2 linked regions of the Diceros bicornis minor genome follow. The protein of the gene in region 1 interacts with the protein of each later gene in a biochemical or structural test. Links are inferred from orthologs where the notes say so. Each region holds a gene or a part of one and is shown in the gene's direction. Other genes may lie near its edges. The genes, in order: COPS7A and COPS4.

The links.
Region 2: the proteins of COPS7A (region 1) and COPS4 form a complex in vitro, tested with the Homo sapiens proteins (2 studies listed by BioGRID). The link is inferred for Diceros bicornis minor from reciprocal best matches to the Homo sapiens genes COPS7A and COPS4.

The regions. Positions count from the first base shown.
Region 1 is NC_080756.1:55,002,991-55,015,503, reverse strand, and holds the start of COPS7A (COP9 signalosome complex subunit 7a), read left to right. Parts: upstream 1-7,267; 5' UTR 7,268-7,374; exon of another isoform or gene 7,375-7,486; intron 7,487-7,853; 5' UTR 7,854-7,895; coding exon 7,896-8,057; intron 8,058-8,080; exon of another isoform or gene 8,081-8,115; coding exon of another isoform or gene 8,116-8,199; intron 8,200-9,401; coding exon 9,402-9,477; intron 9,478-9,708; coding exon 9,709-9,797; intron 9,798-11,052; coding exon 11,053-11,255; intron 11,256-11,876; coding exon 11,877-11,982; intron 11,983-12,134; coding exon 12,135-12,286; intron 12,287-12,454; coding exon 12,455-12,494; 3' UTR 12,495-12,513.
Region 2 is NC_080747.1:67,676,268-67,689,240, forward strand, and holds the start of COPS4 (COP9 signalosome complex subunit 4), read left to right. Parts: upstream 1-7,935; 5' UTR 7,936-8,030; coding exon 8,031-8,104; intron 8,105-12,973. Other genes in the region: LIN54 (protein lin-54 homolog), read right to left, coding at 4,635-4,749. UniProt on the Homo sapiens protein: Component of the COP9 signalosome complex (CSN), a complex involved in various cellular and developmental processes.

The DNA.
Region 1 (12,513 bases):
GATATTTTTCATACTATTGCAAGTGGTAACTTTTAAAATTATTCATCATCTAATTGTTGTTCATATATAGATATATAATTGATTTTGTATGTTTTTTGTCAAGCAAACTTGTTAAACTCTTATTCAATAATTTATTTGTATAGTCTTTTGAATTTTATACATGTGCTATCACATTTTCACATTTTCTATAAATGGTAACAGCTTTGTTTCTTTTTCTTTTTTTTTACTGAGGAAGATTCACCGGAGGCTAACGTCTGTTGCCAATCTTCCTCTTTTTGCTTGAGGAAGATTTGCCCTGAGCTAATATCTGTGCCAATCTTCCTCTGTTTTTTTTAGTATGTGAGTCGCCACCACAGCATGGTTGCCACCACAGCATGGTCGCCAACGAGTGGTGTAGGTCCATGCCCAGGAACTGAACCCGGGCCGCCAAAGCAGAGTGCACTGAACTTAACCAGTGGGCCGCGGGGCTGGCCTGTTTCTTTTTTAATCAAATCCTTTTACCTTTTTTTTTTTTCTTGTCTTACTGCTCTGGCTAGGATCCCCATTACAAGACTGAACAGAATTGGTGATACCAGGCATTTCTTTATCAGATTAATAAGTTTCCTTCTAGTTTTCTAAAAGATTTTTCTTATCACAAATGGATGTTTATTTCATCACATTTTTCCTGTATTTATTGAGGTAATTGTGTGATTAATTCCTTTAATCTATTAACATAATGAATAAAATGAATATATTTTCTAATATTAAGCTACCCTTAAATTCCTGACATAAATTCAAGTTAGTCTTGGTGTATTATCTTTTTTGCACATTGCTGAGTTCAGTTTTGCTAGTGTTTTATTGAAGACTTTTGTGTATCTGTTAATAAGTGAGATTGGCCTGTAATTTTTCTTTCTAGTATTGCCCTCATCTGGTCTCATTATCAAAGTAATTCTGGCCCTGTTGAATGAGTTGAGGAGTGTTCTTGCTTTTCCTATTTTCTGGAAAAGTTTACATATAAGGTTAAAAGGATCTGCACTTTGTAAGTTTGGTGCAACTTGCCTGTATGATGTTGTTCTTAACTCTTTCTTTTCCTTTCATATCTCACATCTAATCCATTTGCAAATTCTGTTCACTTTGGCTTTAAATTAAATTCAGCATCCAACTACTTCTCACCTCCACTGCTACCACCTTCGTCTAAGCCACCACCATCTCTTGCCTGGATAATTGCACACAGGCCCCCCTGCTGTTCCTCAAACACATCAAGTATGTATGTTCTCATTTCAGAGCCTTTGCACTTGTAGTTTGCTCTGCTTGGAGCATTGTCCCCACAGAAATCCATGACTTGCTCTTTTTTTTTTTTTTTTTTTAAAGTCTCTGCTCCATTGCCACCATATCAGAAAGGCCTTTCCTTACTACCCTGTATCAAGTAGCAAATGTCTCCTGCGTTCCCCATCCCCCTCTCCCTGTTTTGTTTTTCTTCATAATATTTATTACCTCCTGACTATTTATGTATGTATATATGTATTTATTTGTTTTTTGCCTGAGTCTCACCACAAGAATGTAAATACCAAGAAGGCAGGTATTTTGTGTATATCCCTAGTAACTAGAACAATGGCTGGCAATAAGAGGTGCTCAATATATGCCTTTTGAATCAATGATGAATATTTTATTATGTGTCTGACTCCTTGAATGTCAGTCAGCTTCTCCACTTTATTTCAGTGTATATTGTGTTCTATCCTTGGCATTAAAAACACAGCACCTGGCATAAGGCCTTGTACATAACTGTTACTTAGTAACAAACGAATGAATGAATGTTACAGCCTAGCCTTTGCTTGAGTTTAATTAGCTCCCATCCTCCCCTTGGAGATCTTTATTTTTCTTGCCACTTCCCCTCTTCTTTCCTCATTTCTAATCCCTTTTTTTCTTTCTCATATCCCCTCCTCCTCCTCTTCTCTCTCTGCTCTTTCTAATCTCACTCCTTTAGTCCATCCCCTCTCCTTTCTTTCTCTAAGTTCTACTTGTCTACTTATTAATTGTTCTTTCATTTTCTCCTCTTACTCCTCTTTGTCTTAGAGAACCATAAAACATCAGAATCAGGGGCCGGCCCAGTGGCGCAGTGGTTAAGTGCGCGCGCTCCACTTTGGCAGCCCAGGGTTCTCAGGTTCGGATCCCGGGTGCGCACCAACTCACCGCTTGGCAAGCCATGCTATGGCGGCGTCCCATATAAAGTAGAGGAAGATGGGCATGGATGTTAGCCCAGGGCCAGTCTTCCTCAGAAAAAAGAGAAGGATTGGCATCAGATGTTAGCTCAGGGCTGATTTTCCTCACCAAAAAAAGAAAAACAAACCATCAGAATCAGAACTGGCCTTACAGATTTTGTGGCCTAATTGCTCACTTTGCAGATATGGAAGATGAGATACCAAGAGATGGCACAATTTAAGGTCACAGCTAGTTTAAGGCTGAATCAGGACTAAATCTCAGGCTATCTTTTTCTCCCTCTTCTCTTCTGTCTTTCCTTTCTGCTTTTTATTTTCTTTCTTAGCACAGTGTTGGAATCAGACAAACTTGCATTTGAATCTCAGTTCCACCACTTATACTGGAAGCCTTCAAAATTTATGTAACTTCTGTGATCCTCAGTGTCCTTACAGGTTAACTGAGATATTAATAGGCACCTCAAATGGTTGCTGTAAAGACTGAATAAAAAGTTGAACAATAACAACAAAAAACCCCTACAACTTACATCATACTTAATGGTGAGAAACTCGAAGCTTTCTCACTAAGATCACGTACAAGGCAAGGATGTCCCCTCTCACCACTTCTCTTCAACATTGTACTAATACAATAAGGCAAAAAAAGTAAATAGAAAGTATACAGATTGGGAAGGAAGACATAAACGGTCTTTGCTCACAGATGACATAATCATTTATGTAGAAAATCCAAAAGAATTGACAAAAAAACTCCTGGAACTAATAAGCAGTTAAAGCAAAGTTGTAGGATACAAGGTTAATATACAAAAGTCAATTGCTTTCCTATATACCAACAATGAACAAGTGGAATTTGAAATTAAAAACAGAATACCATTTACATTAGTACCCCAAAAAGAGAAATACTTAGGTGTACATCTAACTATATATATAATTTTTATGAGGAAAACTACAAAACTCTGATGAACAAAATCAAAGAACTAAATAAATGGAGAGATAATCCATATTCATGGGTGGGAAGACTCAATATTGTCAAGATATCAGTTTATCCCAACTTGACCTATAGATTTAATGCAATCTCAATCCCAATCCCAGCAAGTTATTTTATGGATATCAACAAAGTGATTCTAAAATTTATATTAAGAGGCAAAAGACCCAGAATAGCCAACACAATATTGAAGGAGAATAACAAAGGTGGAAGACTGACACTACCTGACTTCAAGACTTACTATAAAGCTATCGTAATCAAGACAGTGTGGTATTGGCAAGAGCATAGACAAACAGATCAATGGAACAGAATAGAGAGCCCAGAAATAAACCCCCATAAATACAGTCCACTATTCTTTGACAAAAGAGCAAAGGCAATACAATAGATCAAAAATAGCCTCTTCAACAAAGGGTGCTACAACACCTGGACATTTACATGCAAAAAAATGAATCTAGGGCCGCCCCGTGGCTTGGGGGTTAAGTGCGCGCACTCCGCTGCTGGCGGCCCGGGTTCAGATCCCGGGCGCGCACCGACACACCGCTTCTCCGGCCATGCTGAGGCCGCGTCCTACATACAGCAACTAGAAGGATGTGCAACTATGACATACAACTATGTACTGGGGCTTTGGGGGGGAAAAAAAAAAGGAGGAGGATTGGCAATAGATGTTAGCTCAGGGCCGGTCTTCCTCAGCAAAAAGAGGAGGATTGGCATGGATGTTAGCTCAGGGCTGATCTTCCTCACAAAAAAAAAAAAAAAAAGAATCTAGACACAAACTTTACATACTTCATAAAAATTAACTCAAGATGGATCACAGACCTCAATGTAAAATGCAAAATTATAAAACTCCTAGAAGATCACATAGGAGAAAACCTAGATGACCTTGAGAATAGTGATGCTTTTTTAGATACAACACCAAAGACACAATCCATGAAAGAAATAATTGATAAGCTTGACTTAATTAAAATTAAAAACTTCTGCTCTGCAATAGACAATATCAAGAGAATTAGAAGACAAGCCACAGACTGAAGAAAATATTTGCAAAAGACACATCTGATAAAGGACTGTTATCCAAAATATACAAAGAACTCTTAAAACTCAACAAATAAGAAAACAAACAACCCAATTAAAAAATGGGTCATTCCATGACACATTGATCTAAGGAAAAAAAAAATGAGTCAAAGACCTTAGATACTTCACCAAAGAAGATATACAGATGTCAAGTAAGCATATGAAAAGATGCTCCACATCATATGTCATCAGGGAAATGCAAATTAAAACAACAATGAGATACCACTACACACGTATTAGAATGGCCAAAATCTAGAATACTGACAACACCAAAAGCTGACCAGGATGTGGAGCAATACAAACTCTCATGCATTGCTGGTGGGAATGCAAAATGGCACAGCCACTTTGGAAGACAGTTTGGTGGTTTCTTACAAAACTAAACATACTCTTACCATATGATCCAGCAATCATGCTCCTTTGTATTTACCTAAAGAGGTGGAAAACATGTCCACACAAAAACCTGCACATGGATGTTTATAGCAGCTTTATTCATAATTGCCAAAACTTGGAAGAAAGATGTCCTTCAATAGCTGAATGGATAAATAAACTGTGGTACATCCAGACAATGGAATACTATTTGGCACTAAAAAGAAATGAGCTATCAAGCCGTGAAAAGACATGGAGGAACCTTAAGTTGAAAGAAGCCAATCTGAGAAGGCTACATATTGTATGATTCCCACTCTATGACATTCTGGAAAAGGCAAAACTATGGAGACAATAAAAAGATCAGTAGTTGCCAGGGGTGGGGGGTGAGGAAAGATAAATAGGCAGAGCACAGAGAATTTTTAGGGCAGTGAAAATACTTTGTATGATATTATTATTATTATTATTTGTGAGGAAGATTAGCTCTGAGCTAACATCCATGCCAATCTTCCTCTTTTTGCTGAGGAAGACTGGCCCTGGGATAATATCCATGCCCATCTTCCTCTACTTTATATGGGACGCACAGCATGGTCTGACAAGCGGTGCATCAGTGCACACTGGGGATCTGAACCCAGGCCGCCAGCAGCGGATCGTGTGCACTTAACCACTACACCAGGGGGCCGGCCCCTGTGCGATATTATAATGATGGATATATGTCATTATACGGGTGTCCAAACCCACCCTTAGGTAAACTACAGACTTTGGGTGATTACGATGTGTCAGTATAGGTGCATCCTTGATAAAAAATGTACCATTCTGGTAAGTGATATTGATAATGGGGGACGTTATGCGTGTATGGGAGCAAGGAGTATATGGGAAATCTCTGTACCTTCCTCTCGATTTTATTGTAAACCTAAAACTGCTCTAAAAAATAAAGTCTTAAAAAAAAAGTTGAACAAATAAAGACCTGGCACATAATAGAACATATGTTGGCTCTTTTCTCATTCTTTCTTCATATTTTTCTTTTTCCTTCCCTCTTTAAATTGATAAGACTGGATTCATTAATTCTTTGGTTCCTCCAAACTTTGGATATTTTCTTATGCCTTTGATCTCTTCTCCTCACTTTTTTTTTTTTTTGGTGACGAAGATTAGCCCTGAGCTAACATCTATTGCCGATCCTCCTCTTTTTGCCTGAGGAAGATTGGCCCTGAGCTAACATCCGTGCCCATCATCCTCTACTTTATATGTGGGACACCTGCCACAGCATGGCTTGATAAGTAGTACGTGGGTCTGCGCCTGGGGCCTGAACCTGTGAACCCCAGGCCGGCAAACCAGAGTGTGCAAACTCAACCACCACGCCACGGAGCGGGCCCCTCTTCTCACTTTTATGTGTAATCTCTTCCATTCATTTCTTCTTCTCTTTCTCCTCCTCTGCCACTTCTTCCTCCTTCTTTTTCTTCTTCTCCTTCTCTCTCTCCTTTCCCAGTTTCTGCTTCTCATTTTCTATCATAAACCAAGCCATGTGGACCATAAACTTTGAGCTTCAAGTCCCTTCAGCTCCAGCAGTCTACCAGTCCTGTGATTTTCTCTTCATTTATGTTCTCTTTTCCCACTTTCTCTCTTTCCATTACTTATAAATTACTTAACTTCCCTGGGCCTCAATTTTTCCATTTGGAAAATGGAAATAATAATAGATTATTATAACCATCAAATGAATTAAGTAAAGCTCTTAGCTCAGTGCTTAACACAAAGGCCTCCAAGAAGTCATTAACTTTATTCTCATTTGACCCTCTGCAAGCCTGGTATGAAAGATAAAAGTGTAGAAATGTTAGCTGTTTATTTTTTCCTAAAATACAGTGGTAAAATGGGAAGATGCTTTGGCTTTGAAAAGACCTGGGTTCTAGGCAAATCTCTGAATTTTTATGAGCCTCAATTTCCTCATCTGTGAAATGAGAATAATAACATATGCCTTCCTTCCACCTAGGGTTTTTTCCTCCTCGAGGAATTAAGAGTCAATATACAGGAAAGCATCACTCTACAAGTACATGTAATCACGATAGACAGTGTCCTGGAGTCACACTGGGGGCACAGTATAGTTATGAGGATTCAATAAGATAAAATTTTAAAAGATGCCTAACCAATAGTATGCACTCAATACATATTAGATATTATTATTTGCTTTACCTTTTCCACTTCTTTTCTCTTGTTCCTCAAAAAAATGAGTGGTTGAACTACCCAGGTGATCTCTGGTGCTAAACTTCTATTATTGATTTTTGTCCTCTTCCTCTCTCCTCTTCATCCCCCCACCTTTTTTCTTCTTCTCCCTCTCTCTCCATTATAGCTTTCCTCTCGCCTCAGGCACCCGTGCAGCCTGGATCTCCAGATATCAGGCAGCTTAGAGCTGCCACAGAACCACCAGGTACCGGACTGAGACCACGAGTTCCCTCTGCATTTAGCGTCTTAGCGCTCGTCCAACAATAAAGTTTTATTAAAACAAAGCAGAAAAAAAGGCACCCGTCCTTCTTTCCTCAACAGCCAATCAGCAAGTAGAATGCTTGTGTCACTCACAGGAGCTTCAGCAGTCGGAAGGAGGGGGCGGGGCATGTTGCGCTCGAAACCGGCCTCATAAGAGCGGAAGTACGGCCGGAAGTCAGCCATAGAGTGTAGTGGCCAGAGTGCCCCTGCAGAGAGGTCTCAGGAAGGGCTCGGAGCAGCTGCCGGAGGTGACGGAGCGGCGGCCCCGCCCGGTGCACTGGAAGACGAAGCTTCCAGGTAGCGGCCCGCAGAGTCTGACCCGGGGTAGGACGGGGCAGGCTGCGGGAGCCCACGGTCCCTGGCGGCTTCTTTAAGGGAGGGGGCGGAGCCACGTGGAAGGACTGTGAGGGTGACATCACGTGGCTGGGGGTACATTCGGGGCACCAGTGGCGATTTGAGGGAGCGTCGTCGTTGGGGTGGACATCATGTGACACTCCTTCCCCACTGCATCCTTGCCTTAGGGTTCAAGGGGGTGCACGTGGTGGGGCTTGAGATTAGGCCCAGGGATGGGAGAGGGTGGGCGTGGCCATCCTGTCTCAGCCAGACTTCCATCAAAGTGGCCAATTTTAGGATTCCTAGATCCGAGTTTTAGACAGCTCCATCTCTGATTCCTCACTGCAGACACTCAGTGCCTCTGCAGACCAGTCCCTAGCCCTTGTACTTCCCCACCTCCCAGTGTTGAGGGACTTCCAGCTTCACATCCTCTTTCCTTGCAGCTCCAGACATCCTGAGCCCAGGTCCCCCAGCTCAGTGCAGCCATGAGTGCCGAGGTGAAGGTGACAGGGCAGAACCAGGAGCAGTTTCTGCTCCTGGCCAAGTCGGCCAAGGGGGCAGCGCTGGCCACACTCATCCACCAGGTGCTGGAGGCCCCTGGTGTCTACGTGTTTGGGGAACTGCTGGATATGCCTAATGTTAGAGAGGTGGGTTCCTGGCCTGAATAGCCCACAGGGAAACTTGGGCTAAAGTTTGGATTTGAGGATGAGTGGGCAGGGCACGTTTTGCAACCCCATAACCATTCAGTTGAACAAGAATGCGTTGATGATTAACTGGCAGCTTGCAAAAGTAAGTATGCAAGTAAACCTCCTACTTTCCCTTTGGGGATGAATGATCTGTAAACCCCAGTATTTTCATTTTTAAGCAAAAGAGCATGTGATTCAGAATAGGAGACCTGATTTCAGCTTGTCTCCGCCAGTGTAACATTGATCGAGTCACTTTTATTTTAGGGCCTCAGTTTTCTCTTTTAAAAAGGGAGCTGATACTGCCCTTCACTGTTACTGTAGGAATCAGTTGAGATTATGGAAAAGTGTAAAGTCTGGGACAAATGGAAGGAACAAACATGAAATTGGCATGCCCTCTTCTCCCCCTTTTGCATGATAGCTAATTCACTTAAGTTAGATAAGTTAGGAGGTTTCTTTTCCTCAAAGACACGTGGCTAGAAACACAGCAGAGAGAACTGTTCACACAGAAGTAGCAGAGTTAAGAGTTTAAAGTCCAGAGTGTGTGGGTCACCAAGATGTATGACACCAGCAAGTATTTGTTTAGAGAGCTGACTACGTGCATAGCTCTGCTAGACCTAAGTGGGATACCAGAGGCTGGGTCTGTAATCTTGTTGAAAAGAAACATATTCTTGGGTAACAACCTTAGGCAGGGTTTGATTGATTAAGTGCCAGAATGAGTGATTAGTGATAGGAAGAGAGGAGATCTGGGTGGGCTGGCCTGGGTGATGAAAGCCTTCTGGGTGAGGCAGGTCTGAAACAGAGGCCACAAATTCCAGTGCCTGCCTAGGCCATGCAGCTATCAGAGATGAGAGAGGCTGAGGGAGGCGTCTTTGGTGAATTGGGGAGTACAGCAGACTGCCTAAAGATATTCAAATGCAGAAATATTAAACACACTCTAAGGACCAAACAACGCCGTTTATAATGTGTGTGTGTGTGTGTGTGTGTGTGTGAGACACTGAACACTCTGAACGTTTTCACCTCTGAATTTAGGGTAGGAATTGGAGGCCTGTGGAGGAACAAGGCGTTGTGGATTGGGGGAATAGTGTAAGCAAAGGCCTGAAGGGGGAAGTGAGGCAGAATTGGGAAATTCTATGGGAATTTGGGAAAGTGATCAGAGAGGCAGAGAGTTCCTTTTGGTGAGCTGGGAGAGCTAATGTTGGAGGGGAAAGATGGGGCCAGAAAGTGGAGTTCAAACCAGGGTAAGGCTGGGAGGTTGGAGAGAGAGGCCCTTCCTGTCACCTCTTCTCCCTGCTTATGTTCTTGCAGCTGGCTGAGAGTGACTTCGCGTCCACATTCCGGCTGCTCACGGTGTTTGCTTATGGGACATATGCTGACTACTTAGGTAACCAGAGGGGCTGGAGCTCCGGAGTCATGGAGGTGGGAGAAGGGCAATTTCTGGAGGGACTTAGAAGAAATTCCTGGCATACCTTACTTAGGTTCCTTAGGTACGCAGGGTCATGGTCAAGACCTGAATTGGCATGGAGAACACACACAAAGAAATGCAAAGGAAGAAGGCTAGGGCTTCCCACAAAAGTGAAGTCAGGATTTCCTACACTTTGTCCTTTTTTCCCAGCTGAAGCCCGGAATCTTCCCCCACTCACAGAGGCTCAGAAGAATAAACTTCGACACCTATCAGTCGTCACCCTGGCTGCCAAAGTCAAGGTGAGTGACAGTCCCCCCCAGGCCTGAGCCAAAGAGCACTCTTCGGTATGTCCCTTCGTAAGGGCCCATCTGAAGGGAATTTGCACTCAGACAGCCTTTGACCATACTGTTGCTTCTTCCTGCCTTCCCCCCACATCCCTCTAAGGTCTGTATCTAAACTTCATTACCTGCAGCCTTTTAGGCTGAGTAGTATTCTCTTAGTTTTCTGTTTTGTTTTTATTTTTCAGTCAACTTAAGTTCTAAGTAAAACATCTTTTGTGCTTTGTGTCAAAATGACGACTAGGATGCTGTTCTCTGTGTTGTTCAACAATCACCCTCCTCCCCACTATATAAAGTCCCATGGGAACGAGGGTCTCTCTCCTCGTTGAAGTGCTAGGCTTCTATTTGCTAGAATAAGAAATGCATAACCCAGGGGCCGGCCCGGTGGCGCAAGCAGTTAAGTGTGCGTGCTCCGCTGCGGTGGCCTGTGGTTCACCAGTTCAGATCCCAGGCACGCACCGACGCACCACTTGGCAAGCCATGCTGTGGCAGCATCCCATGTAAAGTGGAGGAAGGTGGGCATGGAGGTTAGCCCAGGGCCAGTCTTCCTCGGCAAAAAAAAAGAGGAGGATTGGCAGATGTTAGCACAGGGCTGATCTTCCTCAAAAAAAAAAAAAAAAAACATAACGCAGAAGTATCTCCGTATTTCCTGTTAGGTTCAGTTTTTTGTTAACTCTCCCCCTCCCACCCATCTGCGCTCTCCCAATTGTTACTTGACTCTCCCGTCATTGTCGTGATTTAAGTCAGGCTCCTTATTGCGAGATGCCTCTTTGGAAGGAAGCGAAGTATAAATGGTCAACAGAGTAACTCAAAACCTCTGCCAAAGCTTATGTCAAGGTGTGGAACCTTGGTCAGCCACACATTATGTCAAGCTGGTCTTGACCAAGGTCTGTGTGCTATCCTGAGCTGTGGCCAGAGGGTTGACACTCAGGCAAATGTCACTTTATTCCTCTGTGGTGTGGGAGGTAAGCATGGTAGGGGAGCATAATCTTATATTTTATTTAAGATTGTCCTTCTCATGTCCTTATTTTTCAGGTGGGAATACTTTTATTTATTTTGCCTTAGAACCAGCCTTTTAGAGAAAATTATTTAGGAGTAGGAGTGGAGGGCAGGCAGGTAAGCCTAGGCAGGGGGGAAAAGGAGGGAAGAAGAATCTTGGAAGCCCTTCTCTGCCATGGAACCTCAGAAATCCCAGCCCGACCTCCCCGGGCCCCAGTGTATCCCATATGCAGTGTTGCTGGAGGCCCTTGCCCTGCGTAACGTGCGGCAGCTGGAAGATCTTGTCATTGAGGCTGTATATGCCGATGTGCTTCGTGGCTCCCTGGACCAGCGCAATCAGCGGCTGGAGGTTGACTACAGCATTGGGCGGGACATCCAGCGCCAGGACCTGAGTGCCATTGCCCGAACCCTGCAAGAGTGGTGAGACCTGTGTCCTGGCATTGTCTCTTCTCACCCCAAGAAAGGGAGAGGCGCTTTGGATGGGGGATGGCTGGGCTGTGCTGCAGAGGTGGAATCCAAGAGGATGAAGAGAAAGGAGTGGAGGAGGGCCTGGGGGGCAAGAGGCAGGAGACCGTATCCTTGGTATAGAGATTGGGGGAGGGAAAGGGGAATGGTACTCTTAAGAAGATCCTCACTGGGAGATTGGTCACCTGTCTTAGGCTGGATTCAACCCATCGGTCTGTAACCAGCGCTGTCATAGGCCGTGGGCCTCTTACACTTCTGTGCTTCTCTTTGTGTTTTTGTCTAACTTTAGTTCATTAATACACCTTTTTTTTCTCTTTAGCATCTCCTGTCCCATTTTGGTTTCAGTTCCTACCCCCATCTTGCACATCACTCCAGGCACTTCCTTATACCTCTTTCATCTTACCTGGGTGTCCTTCCAGCTCCTGAGAATGTTGTTGCAGATGGTTTCCAGGTGCCCTGGTGAGGGTTCCTAACTCAGACAAGGGTTTGGATGCCAGGATCTAGGGTTCTTTCCGAGTCTGTTTTTCCTGAGTCTGTGAAACTTCTGCTGACACTTCTCTCTCCCAATTCCCTCAGGTGTGTGGGCTGTGAGGTTGTGCTGTCAGGCATTGAGGAGCAGGTGAGCCGTGCCAACCAGCACAAGGAACAGCAGCTGGGCCTGAAGCAGCAGATCGAGAGTGAGGTGAGCAGGCAGGGGAGCAGGACGGACCCACGTTCCTCCATCCTGGGCCCATTGTCCAGTTGGACAGTGGCTGTAGCAGACAGACAAGGTAGGCAGGGACTGTCAGGTTCTGGAACCTTCTTCATTATCCCCTATTCTTTTCATCTTGGTAGGTCGCCAACCTTAAAAAAACCATTAAAGTTACAACAGCAGCAGCCGCTGCAGCCACATCTCAGGACCCTGAGCAACACCTGACTGAACTGAGGGAACCAGCTCCTGGCACCAACCAGCGCCAGCCCAGCAAGAAAGCCTCAAAGGGCAAGGGGTGAGCCAGTGTGGCAAGAACTGCTCGCTTCCGGAGTGCCCTGCTTTTACTTCAGAGACCCAGCTGCCCTCACTCCCTTTAGTCATTTGCGTGGGGGTAGGGAATGGGGGGAGCCTTCAGGGGTTAGGGGATTCCCTGCAGCCTCTCTCTTTCTCTTCCCCTTGCCAGGCTCCGAGGGAGCGCCAAGATTTGGTCCAAGTCGAACTGAAGGGACTGTCATCTCTTTC
Region 2 (12,973 bases), on another chromosome or scaffold:
TTCCTTTTCTGAGGCCAGTTGTTGGGCTTCTCTAGTCAGTTTTTCTAAGTTATCATTTGGAGAAATATCCCTTTGGACCATGACAGAGGCTTGACTGCTGTTGGTTCCTTTCAGGGCTGCATTCCTTGCAGAAATATCAGCAAGGTGATTTCCTTTAGCTTCCAGAGAGTCAAGTTTAGAATGCCCCGGGATCTTAATAATAGCTTAAGTGGCAGGTAAAAGTATAGCCTCCAATAATTCCTGAACACAGGGGCCATTTTTAATTTTATTTCCACTAGAAGTAAGGAAGCCACGTTGCTTCCACAACATTCTGAAATCATGAGCTACTCTAGAAGCGTATCTACTATCAGGGTAAATATTGGCAGTTCTGCCCTTGGTTAAAGTACAAGCCCGTGTAAGAAGATATAATTCAGCCTGTTTGTCAAACTAGCCATAGGTAAAGGTGTTGCCTCAACAATATCAAAAGGAGTTGCAATAGCATACCAGGTGAAGTATTTGCCTTTGTCACTCTTTAAATCAGAACCATCAGTAAACCATGAGAAGTCAGCGTTACCCAGCGGGGCTTCCTGCAGATCTTCGTGAGGAGTCAGGAGGTGATCTGTCAGCATTAAGCAGCCGTGAGGTACTGTGTCTGTAATGGGGGGGAGAGGAGTAGCGGGGTTAAGGTTACCACAATGTAAGAGTTATGTGAGGAGCAGTTAACAATAGGATTTCACAGGAGGTGAGGTGGCTGACTGAAAAATGTTGAGTCTGATGAGCATTCAGGAGGGCTTCCACTGCAGGAAGTACAAAAATGGCTCAAGGGGATCCCACAACGATTTTCTCAGTGGCTTTAAGCCAAAAACGCTTAAGGCAAGGGGGGTATCCCCATGCCACAGGGTCCAGTTGCTGGCTATAATACCCTGTGGTTCGATGGTTGTCCCCAGGTTATTGGCTGAGTACCCCAAGGACATTCCCTTCCTTTTCATATACAAAAAGGAAAAAGAAAATCTGACAATTGAGAGGTCCAAGGGCAGGTGGGTTCATTAAACTCTCCCTTAAGGCCCTTAAGGCTATGTCGTCTGGTTCTTCCCATAAAATTGGGTCAGAGTTGTTGTTCTTTAGTCAAACATACAGAGAGAAATTTCGAATCCAATTTTGGCAATAATCCACTAGCCCGAGAAAACCTTGCAGTTGGTGCTTAGTTTTGGGTTTGGGGAAACTTAGGACACCATGAAGCTTATCTGGATCTAGGTGTAGCCTTTCTTCTGATATAAGATGCCCTAAATATCAAACCTGGGTTTGGGTAAACTGCAATTTCTCCTTGGTGACCTTATATCCCTTTAAGGCTAAAAGCTTTAGCAAGTGGATGCTGTCTTCCTCTGAGAAGACTTTGGAGGGAGAGCAAAGAAGCAAATCATTCACATATTGCAAAAAAGTAGAACCCCTAGGGAACTTTATATCATCCAGATCAGCCTTCAAGATTTGTGAGAAATAAGAAGGGCTCTCAGTAAAACCCTGAGGCATTACTGTCCAGGTGAATTGTTTTCCTTCCCAAGTGAAGGCAGAAAGATGTTGGCTAGCTTCATCAACCGGAGTGATAAAGAATGTACTACATACATTAATTACTGTAAAGAATTTGCTTCCAGTGGGAACGGCTGTTAGTAGCATATGAGGGTTAAGAACAACAGCATGTCTAGGGATAACAACGTTGTTTATTGTTCGAAGGTCCCAGACAAAGCTCCCCCCTTGGCCCTTGGGTTTTCTCACAGGTAAAACGGGAGAGTTACAGGGACTAGTGAAGGGATAGTGAGGCCTTGAGCCTTGTAACCCTTTACTATGGACTTTATACCTTGAGAGGCTTCTGTCCTTACAGGGTATTGATTAAGTCTGGAGAGAGGTTTTGGGGGATCTATTTGAATCTTGATGGGAGGTGCGCTGTGAATTTTACTAATGTCAGTTGGAGATTTTGCCCATAAGGAGGATGGTAACTGATTCAATAGAGACAAACAGACAGTTTCCAGAATTAGCTCCAGTACCATCAGAGGAAGGAGCAAATAAAACATGACAAAGGGTCATTTAATTCACCTGCACAACTGTTTTAATAACTACTGTCAAATTCTAGAATTATTTCCCCTTTTTGAGAGAAAGAAAGTCTGGCATGATGCTTTTCCAAGATGTCTCAGCCTAATAAGTGAATAGGGGTGGAGGAACTAGGGAGAAAAGGGTGTGTGTCTCTCAAAGGACCTAAACAAAAGGGAACAGGTTCAGAGACAGAAACTTTTTGAGGTTTATTAGAAATTCCCACTACTTGAACTGTCTTAGTACTCCAAGGCAGGGCTGCGTTATAGTAGTGGTTTGAGCGCAAGAGTATGGCTCCAGTGTCAATTAGGACAGAAAGAGATTCATCCCCAATCTGGAGAAATGCTTCTCCAAGCCAATTAAGAGGGAGGATTAGGAAGAGCCTCTTTAGTTCCTTGGAGTCACATAATTGAGGACTTGGAGGACATTGGAAAGGCTGGTTAGAGGCCTGAAGGCGCCTGAAGTGTTTAAATTAGTAACAATCACTTTTCCAATGTTCTAGCTCTTTGCAATAATAGTAGAAAGTAGGGGGTTTTTGGTTTCGTTAAGGGCCTTCATTTGCTGGAGTTGAAGATTGGAATTTTAGCAGTCTTTGTTTTAGGTGACTCATCTGGAGTGTGAGAGAGCTGGTTTGTCAGATTAACTAAACCTGGAATGGATGGTTTCCCATTTCATCCTGGTCATTTTACTAGAAGGGAAAGGTCCCAGTTAGTCCACTAATAAACATACAGTTAAAAGCTACCCAGGGGGAATCAACATCTGAAAGATGACCAGAATTTTCTTTAAAAAAAACAATCTGAAGTCGATTATAATAGTCATGAACAGGTTGATCGAGTTTTTATGCACAAGCCTGAATTTTGTTCCAATCAACAGGGAAAGCCCTAGGAATTGCCAGATGAAGTCATCTAGCAATTGCCTGAGCCTCATCATTCAACAGGTCAGTGGGGTTGGTTTCCTGGTTGTAATTCTAGAGACCTGTCAAGATTTTCCCAATTAGTGGTTTTCATCCAAAGCTGGGACTGGCCTTCACCGACAAGCATATGAACTAGCTGATACAAGTCAGAGAAACCAGGTCAATAAGTTTGAATGACTATATTAAATACCTTAACAAATCTGCGAGGATCTTTAGTTACTTTGTGAAAATGCTTCACAGTTCAGCCTTAGCCCAGGGAGTATAAGAAATTAAGGGTTTAGGGCTGGCCCCGTGGCTTAGCGGTTAAGTGTGTACGCTCCGCTGCTGGCAGCCTGGGTTCGGATACTGGGCGCGCACCGACGCAACACTTCTCCGGCCATGCTGAGGCTGCGTCCCACATACAGCAACTAGAAGGATGTGCAGCTATGACATACAACTATCTACTGGGGCTTTGGGGGAAAAAAAAAAAGAAATTAAGGGTTTAGCCTTTGGATCCTCAAAAAGCTTAATTTTAAAGGGACAGGTTCGTACAGGTTCAGAGAATGAGGGAGTGGAGAGAGATTCAGGGAAAAGGGGAAGTTTGGCAAGAGAGTTAGTATGGGGGAACTGACGGTATGGAGAAGGCATAGACGGTACAGAAGGGAAGGAGGAAGATGCCATTGGAAGTGGGGCCTGAGTAGGAGGAGCGGGGGGAGAAACATGATGGCGCTGGAGGCAGGGCCCGAGACATAGAAGCCAGGGAAGAGGAACATGAGGCGTTGAAAGCCATTTTACCTTTCTTTAATCGTTTGTTCGCCTCAGTTAATCTGAAAATTTTATTTTGTAAAGAGGCAATTTTAGACCCCTAACAACATTTGGAAGCCTCAAAATACCAATCGAAATAAACATTCCATTCAGTTTTGGAAATTACAGAGCTATGGCTGTCCAATTTAGTTTTAAGAAAAGTAAGTCTGGGGAGTTCAAAAGTCTCCCACAATGGCCATTGGTGTCCTAAATTACTTTTGGTTAAATTGGCCCATTTAGTTAGAAATGTGCATGAGGAATGACTGCGGTTTCTAAACAGAAAATCAGCTGGGGTCCCTGTAGGGGTGGATGCCCTCAAAATATCAGATGACTGAGATCCTATTTCTTAGAGGTTTTCCTCTAGAGCAAAGTGATAATTCTCAAACAGCCTAAATAGCTCAAACAGCTTGTAACTCAAAGGGCCTGAACAGCTCCAACAGCCTGCAGGCTTAATACCAGCCAGTCCCTGTAGAACAGTCCAGTTTCATTATGGCGGATGGAAGGTCGAGAACAACTCACTTCCAATGAACAGTCCAGTTCCCAAGGGAATCAGAGCCAAGGTTGATCAACAGTTCCAGGGGACAGTCTGCTCCCAAGGGAGTCAGGCTGCAGGCTGGACAGCACAGTCCCAGTGAAACAGTCTGAAAGTTGGGCTGAAGGCTAGCACAGTTTCAAGTATGGGAACAGTCCAGTTCCAAAAGGTTAGCACAGTTCTAAGGAACAGCCTGATTCAGAGTCAGGGAGAAGTGCCCCCCGAGTACTCGCAGACAAACAAGGCCTTAACTAGAAAAGGACGAAGCCTTAAAATCTCAAATAAAGCCTGGAGAGCCTCAAATGCAAAGAGGGAGGAAGCTCGTATCCAGGAGAAAAGACTTACCCTCAAACCCCAGGGTCAGCGAGAAAATCATCGAGCTCCATGGGCTCTGTTGTGTGTACTGCACCAGTTTGCTCACCAGCCTCAGAGTCGTTGGGGGTCTTCTCTGGATCTCCATAGGGGCCACCAAAATGTTGGCCTTAAACAAATAGATAGCTAGTTATTTCTCCAGCAAAAATGGGTTTATTTGGGATCAGCAAACAATTGCAATTTGAAGTCTGCAACCATGGCAAGCCACGTGCAAGTCCCCACCAGCAAGGGAGGAGAAACTCTTTTATAGAGGGGAAGGGGAAGTTGGGAAAGCTATTGTAAACAAAGAGTTTGAGGTGTAGTGGGTCTTCACTGGCTGAGTTTTGACGGACTCTCATTGCTGAGCTTCTGGCTAGTCAAGAAGAGGCAGTCTGGGCTGGCCCCGTGGCTTAGTGGTTAAGTGTGCGCGCTCCACTACTGGCGGCCCGGGTTCGGATCCCAGGCGCGCACCGACGCACTGCTTCTCCGGCCATGCTGAGGCCGTGGCCCACATACAGCAACTAGAAGGATGTGCAACTATGACATACAACTATCTAGTGGGGGGCTTTGGGGGAAAAAAAAAGGAGGAGGATTGGCAATGGATGTTAGCTCAGAGCCGGTCTTCCTCAGCAAAAAAAGAGGAGGATTAGCACGGATGTTAGCTCAGGGCTGATCTTTCTCACAAAAAAAAAAGAAGAGGCAGTCTTTCTTCTTCTTTTGGGTTCTGCTATCTGGGTAAGGCATGAGAGCTTCCCCTTGTGGCCTCCCAACTCCATTTTAATGAGGTTTTTGTTTATTAATGTTCACACTGCTATAAGTAAAACCTAAAAATATGTAGTAGTCTCTTCGAAGTTGGGCAGGAGTAATGAGCAGTCTGGAAAGGGGAGGCCTTGTCATGTCAAAAAATTCAGTAAAATTGCGGCCTACAATAACTAGGATGGCAGACAACCTCCCTTCCTAGCTTGTAGCTCTAGTGGAGATATTTAGAAAGAGCCAGTTTGTGTGTGTGGCTGCTTCTTTTTTGCTTTCAGCAAGGTATTACAAGTAAAGTTTGAAGTCAGGGTAAAAAGGGAATAGAATGTTCCAGAAATTCTGGGGCTTCACTAAGTTGAAAAAGCCAACTGTTTATTACCCCTAAATAGCAGAAGAAAAGACTTAGCTTAGAGAATTCTCATAGCCCATTAAGACTTTTTGGCAAATGCACATAAACAGAAAACAAAGATAAGCTGAAGCAAAAATCAAATGAATAGAGTTCTCTTCTCATTTAAACCTATTGTTTTAGATGATTTCAAAGCTTCCATCACTAAAAGGAGGATGTTAAGAATGGACTGAGTATGGAAGCCGGAAAATAGGGCAAGTTTAATAACTACTAGAAAGAACTTTGGGTGTGGTTACTGGCACCAGAAACTGTCTGGAAGCAGCAGAGGTTACTGAATACTCAATGAAATTATATATATATTGAAAAACCTGGCCTACAAAAGCCCTCAATTGCTCAAGTCCTGAGGCATTTCCCCAAAGAGGGAATACTCTTCAACATCCAGTTAACTTGTATGCAGAGGGCAAAGCTTGGGCCCACAAAATACAACGGACAATGGAGATCCTCTCAGAGAGCAGAACTAGGGTCTAACCAAGGAACTTACTCCACTACGAGGATAGTGAGTATTCATAATTCCTGCCCAGGATTCCACCATTGCTATAGACCAGTAACTGCTGTATGTTTCCCATTTTTATTTTTTCTGAGTTTTACCTGGGGTTATCCTACTCCTGCTCCACTCTTGTTTTGTATTACACGTATGGGTATGGAGCAGATAATTTGTTTTGTAGTGTATATGTCTCTGCACCATAAAAAACCATATCCTAACCTGATGGAGAGGATTGTGCCTTATCAGACATCCTGGAATTTGAGCTAATATAGAAACTAAATGGGAAACTGAATTCTCTTTCTTAGAGGGTGCGAGCGTTCTACTGTAAGAAGGAAACACAGATATTTAGGTGGTCAGAGGGACAGATTGTAGTAGAGAGTGTTGACTGTTCCTCTAAAACCATCCTTTCCTTTTTCCTGGGCACAAGACTGCCAACTGGAAACTAAATTTCCAGTCTCACTGTTGCTAGCCATGGTCATGTGACTAAGCTCTTGCCAATAGAGTGAGATCTGAATTGATGTGGGCACTCCACATTACTTTCTTAAAAGGACTTCCTTATTCTGGGCTTCTTTCCTCTTCTCAATAGAGGGAACATGCTAATTATGACATATCAAGCTGGTAAAATTAGAACGTTTGACGTTCTTTGTAGGCAAGGCTGTAGAAAATTGCACTCCTACATATCGCTGGTAGGAAGGCAAAAAAGTACCATCCCTATAAAGTGCAATTTGGCAGTATCTATCAAAATTGTAAGCACATCTACCCTTTGACTCTCTTCTTGGAATGTATTCTACCTGTACACATATAAAATGATGGATGTACAAGGTTATTCATTGTAGCATTGACTAAAAACTATTTAAGTGTCTAGTTTAAGGATTAAATAAGCTACGCATCCCCTCATTATGTAATACTCTCCAGTTCTAAAAAAGAATGAGGAAGCTTTGCAGACTTATGGTAAGATCTTAGGAAAAGTGAAAAAATCAAGGGCAGACTAATGATATGGTGTGCTATCTTTTGTGAAAGCAAGAAAGGATAAAAATGTACTTTTATTTGCTTATATTTGCAGAAAGAAATTCTATACGGATATATGAATAATGAACATAATTACATATAAACGTAGGGTGACCATATACTTTTTCATCCAAATCAAAGTGTTTCTAGAGTGGAAGGGCGTGTTATTAATAATTACCCCAGGACAACAGATGGAAAATGCCACTGTCCTGGACAAACTGGGATATATGATCAACTTATACAAAAGGTACAGAGTGGGAGGGGGAATGGGGTCATTTTTTACCGTATTTTACAAAAGTGTCGGTCTTTGGTGAATTGGAAAAAAAACAGCTCCTTCTTTACCACAGGTAGTTTAAGGACTGCCTTAAAGAACGAGGATCGGTAAACTATAGACGTGACACACGGAACTTAATGAAAACGCGATAGTTTTGCATACCCGACACTTACCGGAGTTGCACAAGCGACACACTCCCTTGAAGTTCATCCTCCAATCCGAAGTGGGAGCGTGAGAGCCCCAGCCTGTGGGAGAGACCTGCTTGGGCCTCGGACTCGAGGAGTGGAGCTTCGCGTCACTCAACCCTGGGGGCGGACCCAGCGCAGGCTCCCACCGCGGCGCTCTGGCCCACAGAAACGCTACTCTGTGGCATCTCGAGTTCCCTCTGGCTGCACTCTGGAGGACTACACTCGTTTTCTTTCTGGCAGTGGGAGGCCCTGCAACCTCGGCTGAGCTGGAGGAAAGATGGCGGCAGCCGTGCGACAGGATTTGGCCCAGCTCATGAATTCGAGCGGCTCTCATAAAGATCTGGCGGGCAAGTGAGTACTTCTCAGGGGCATGGGAGGTGGGGAGGGAAACCACAGACTTGTTCTCCTGGGGTTGATGGCGGCTTTCGCATGTGAGGCTAGGCGCTGGCCTGACGACCAAGGGGGCGGGCCTGAGGTCGGTTATGGAGGCAAATGTTGGGATCAGCAGAAGGCTGAAGGGGACCTTGTGCAGGGATCCCTCGGGGCCCTAGACCTAGGGTGACTGTCAGCTCGTTCAGTCCTTGAGAGCATCCTTACCGGTCTCGTAAAATTCTGGAAGCGCGGTCTGAGGGACGACTGCTCCCACGGCCTTCTCAGCCTTCTCTGGTGCCTCTTCCCATCGCTCTCTGGCCTCTCACACCGAATTCTCGCCTCTCTTTGGACTTTTTTTTTTTCCTTTTTGATTGAGGGAAATTTATATTCTGGGCCTTGATGCAGAGTTTTGCGGGGAGATGGCTTTTTGAGGCTGGTGGGGGCTGAGGAGGTATGGCCGCTATCATGTCCAGAACCCCTCGGACCGTCTTCTGTGGGTCATTGTTTTGGGTACTCTCTCTCCGCCACCAGCTCTGAAAAAGGGCACATAGGCAGAATGTCTTCATAACGTGGGTCAGGATGTCTAGAGTAGTAATGTTTGCAGGAATCTGGATTGTTTAGGAATTTTGTCGGAATTTGTGTAGAAGGCTTAGGTCCACTCCAAGTTAAAATTTGTGACATGTCCCTCTCCTGCAAGCAGTTATTCAGCAGTGTTAATCATAGGTATTGTCCGTTTTTTCTTTGTAGATTTCACTATACTGTTCTTTTGTAATGAACGTGCATTCTGTTTAAAGTATGCTTCTCAAATTGATCCTAATATTTACATCCTGACAGCTGAGATCACTTTGATCTGTATTGATGGGATACACCTGCTCTAACCGGGCTGTTGGAACCTTGACTGTGCTTTATGTAGGCTGTGCTGCCTTTTCTGTGGTGGTGAATGTAATCTACTTTTATCAGTGGGAAATTTAGCTGTGTATCTTAGGCTTAACTATTTTGTGCTGCAATTTCTCCCTCAGGAAAATGGGGATAATTATAGGACTTATTCTTGTCTGAGAACGAAATGAGTATGTGTGTGCGTATACACTTGTGTTATATCACTTAGAACAGTACCCAACACTTAGAAAGTGTCACAAAATTGTTGTTATTATTACCCAGCTAGTAAATATATATTGACTTATTCCATGGGTTGGAAATAAGTTGAATATGTCTTCATGGCTTAATCTTCTTTGCATGTAATTTTTATAGAATGGATGAAAGTAAAACTAGCTTATATTTTCCCGCATGCTTGCTTGCTTTTTTGTTTGTTGAAGAAAAATAAGTGCGTTAGTTATCAGAAGAGATATAGTTTTTCAAGTATTTGCAGAATTCTGAAACTTAAGCTAAGCATTTACTTCAACTCTGAATTGCAGATAAACAGTAGTACCTATCTTATAGAGTGCTTCAGTTATTTATTGTTGTGTAACAAACCAAAAACTTAGTGTAAAACAACTGTTATTTCTCAGGATTCTTTGGGCTCTTTTGCTGGTCTAGTCTGGCCTCCCTCATGCAGGTGCAGTCAGCTGGCAGCTCAGCTGGGGCTGGTAGGGTAAAATAGACGCAGATGCACATCCGGCTGTTGGCTGGGTCTCACACTCTCTCCACGTGGTCTGTCATTCAGTAGTTTAGCTGAGGCTTCCTTACAGGGCCATAGGAGTGTTCCTGGAGGGTAAGAGTGAGAGCTGAAGGTCTGTTAAGGCCAGCCTTGGAAGTCTTGCAACATCAGTTCCCTGATACTGGTCAAAGTAAGTCACAAGCCCAGCCCAGATTCAAGGGGAGGGGAAATGGAGTCTACCTCTATGGGAGCAGTGGCCAAGTTATGTTGCAGAAGGGCGTGGTCAGAGGGAGGCATGATTCATTGGAGTCCGTTACTGTCACAATCTACTCCATGGGGTTATTGAGAATGTTAAATGAAATAATGTGCTTGATAACTGATAGCCAGTGTTTTGTGAGAAAAGTCTTGGCCTTGCCTGGTCCTATCTGGGCAAGAATGTGTCAGGGTATTTCTTTTCGTAACAAAACAGTTCTGCCAGCTAGTGCTTTATGAGAGAAACACTCTTGAAATATATCAGTAGTTTTAGGGTTTATGTTAGGAGCTGAGTAACAGGATTCTATATTAAGGAATCATGGAGAAAATTCTTTTCTAAAATATTGATACTCTGTGTTCCCTGCAGTTAGCAGGATATCTATAACAGAGTAGTTATTCAACAAATGTTGGTTAAATCAATGAATAGCTAGAAATGTGCAGAGCTTATATTTGAACACAGGTTTGTCTACTCTAAAAAGCTCATTTTTAACCTTACCAGCCTATACTGCTGCTGTTGCCAAAACTTCAATTAGAAATGCTTTCCTATAACTATGAATTAACACAACAGTCTAAAATCGAAATAAGAAATTGGCCATATGAGAAGCATATTTGCAGATTTTATAAACTGCTTTTGTACCTATTATGCATTGTGTTCATCATCTCATATAACGCTTTAGAAGAGGAGAGTCTTGAGAGGGAGCATTTGAGTAGATAGATAGCTGTTGTGATAGCCTGTCTTATTGAATTAGCTAAAACCTACTTGGTTCTTCGAAACTCAGTTCAGATGTTATTTCTTCCAAAAAGCCTTCTCGGAACAACCACCAGTACACACTCGTGCTCACCCCACACGGGACCTGGGTGGTTGCTCTTCCTGTGCCTACTGGCATCCTATATTTCCCTCTACTATAGCGCTCAACTGTTTTCTTTACTTGTCTGCTTCTCCAACTAGAATGTGATCTCTTTGAGGGCAGGTATGAGGTCATGGATTATAGGTCTTTGTTGAGTTAATCCTACAGAAATAGGACCTTTTTTTTCTTTTCTTTTTTTCCCGGTTCTGGGGTATGGAGGATCCCCAGAGGAGCATAGTGGGCCTTTGGAGTATAAACGTTTCATTTTACAGGAAGCTGTTAGCCTGGAGAAAGGAAAGTAATGGGAGACCTTTTAGCTGCCTTTGACTATTAGAAAAGCTGTTTTTCAGACAAGAAAATAGACTACTCTGCCTTATAGACGTAGACTTTGGATTAGAACTTTGTAATAATAGAGTGGAGTAGAACTGTCAAAAAATAGAGGATACACACACACACACACAACCAACCAACCAACGGAGGATATACTGTATAACTTCATAGGCCCCTTCTAACTCAGATTCTCTGGTTCTCTGTTGTTATTCCCACACACAACAGTTTTAGGGGTTTTCATCTCAAGAGTGAAGTTCCCTAACATCTAGTGTTCACTGTGCGCCAAGCACAACTTTACCTACATTTTTTAATCCTTAACAAGTAATATTGTTTACGTTATATATGAAAAAACTGAGGTATAGAGGTGAAATACCTTGCTCCAAGGTCACATAGCTAGTGGCAGAGACAGAATACAGCCTGTCAGCTTGGCTCATAGCCCTTAACTCTAATCGACCTTTTGGCCTTTTTCACCAAACTGGACTACATTTCAGATAGTGATTTTTTGCTTAGAGTGCCTGCCTTTCCCTAGTCTTTGCCACTTCACACTGAGTTGAAGTATTTAGAATGCTTCAAGATCGACCTCATTAGTAAATTATTTCTTTCTCCTAAAAACTATATTAGCAGCTACCTGTTTTTAAGATTTTGTCTTTAATTTTCTGCAGCTTCGTTATCATGTATCTATGTGAATTTTTTACTTTTCTATGTCGGTTAGCTTTTGCTGTGAAATAAACCACCCCAAAACTTAGTGGCTTAAAACAGCAATCATTTATTTAGCTTACAGTTCTGTTGGTTGGCAGTCTGGGCTGGGCCCAGCTGGATGGTTCTTCTCCTCTCCGCATGGTCTTTGTTCCACACGGGCTTCCACGTGTCAGCTCTGCTTCTGTGTCGGCTGGGGCAGTAGAGGTGACTGGGCTGCATATTTCATTATCTAGTAGGTTAGCCTGGGCTTGTTCATGTGGCAAAAGCAGGGTTCCAAGGGATAAAATGCATACAGGGCCTCTTGAGGTCTAGATTCGGAACAGGCACTTCACTTCTACTGCATTCTGTTGGTCAAAACAAGCCTAGATTGGGGCCGGCCGGTGGCGTAGTGGTTAAGTTTGTGTGCTCCACTTTGGTGGCCTGGGGTTTACAGGTTCGGATCCTGGGCATGGACCTATGCACCACTTATCAAGCCATGCTGTGGCAGGCATCCCACGTATAAAGTAGAGGAAGATGGGCACGGATGTTAGTCCAGGGCCAATCTTCCTCAGCAAAAAAGAGGAGGATTGGCAACAGATGTTAGCTCAGGGCTAATCTTCCTCGCCAAAAAAAAAAAAAAACCAACCCCCAGATCACAGAGTGGGGAAATAAACTCTACCTCTTGATGTGAAGAGCTGTAAAGTCTCATTGCAAAGGGGCATAGATACAGTGGGTGAAAGAATGTGGCCTCTTTGTAAATGCTCTACTGTGTTATCCTGGTTGAGCTTCCTTGTGTTTTTTAAATTAATGAATTGGATCCTTTCATTGTCCTGGAAAGCGTTTCTTGAATTAATGAATTGGCTTCTCATTGTCCTGAGAAGTTTTCAGCTATATCTCTTTAAATGTTGCCTCTGTCCCGCCTGTTCTATTTTCTCCCCTGGGACTCCAGTGAAACCCTCTTTAGGCCCCCTTCCTGTGACCTCTGTGTCTCTTACCCTGTCTTCTGTACTTACCCATTTCAATGCTTTATTCCGGATAGGTTCTTCTAACCTGCTTTATAGTTTATCTGTTCTTCAAGTGCGTCTAATCTGCTAAGAACTCCATTGAATTTTTAAGTTTGGTTATAATATTTTTTAGTTTTATAGT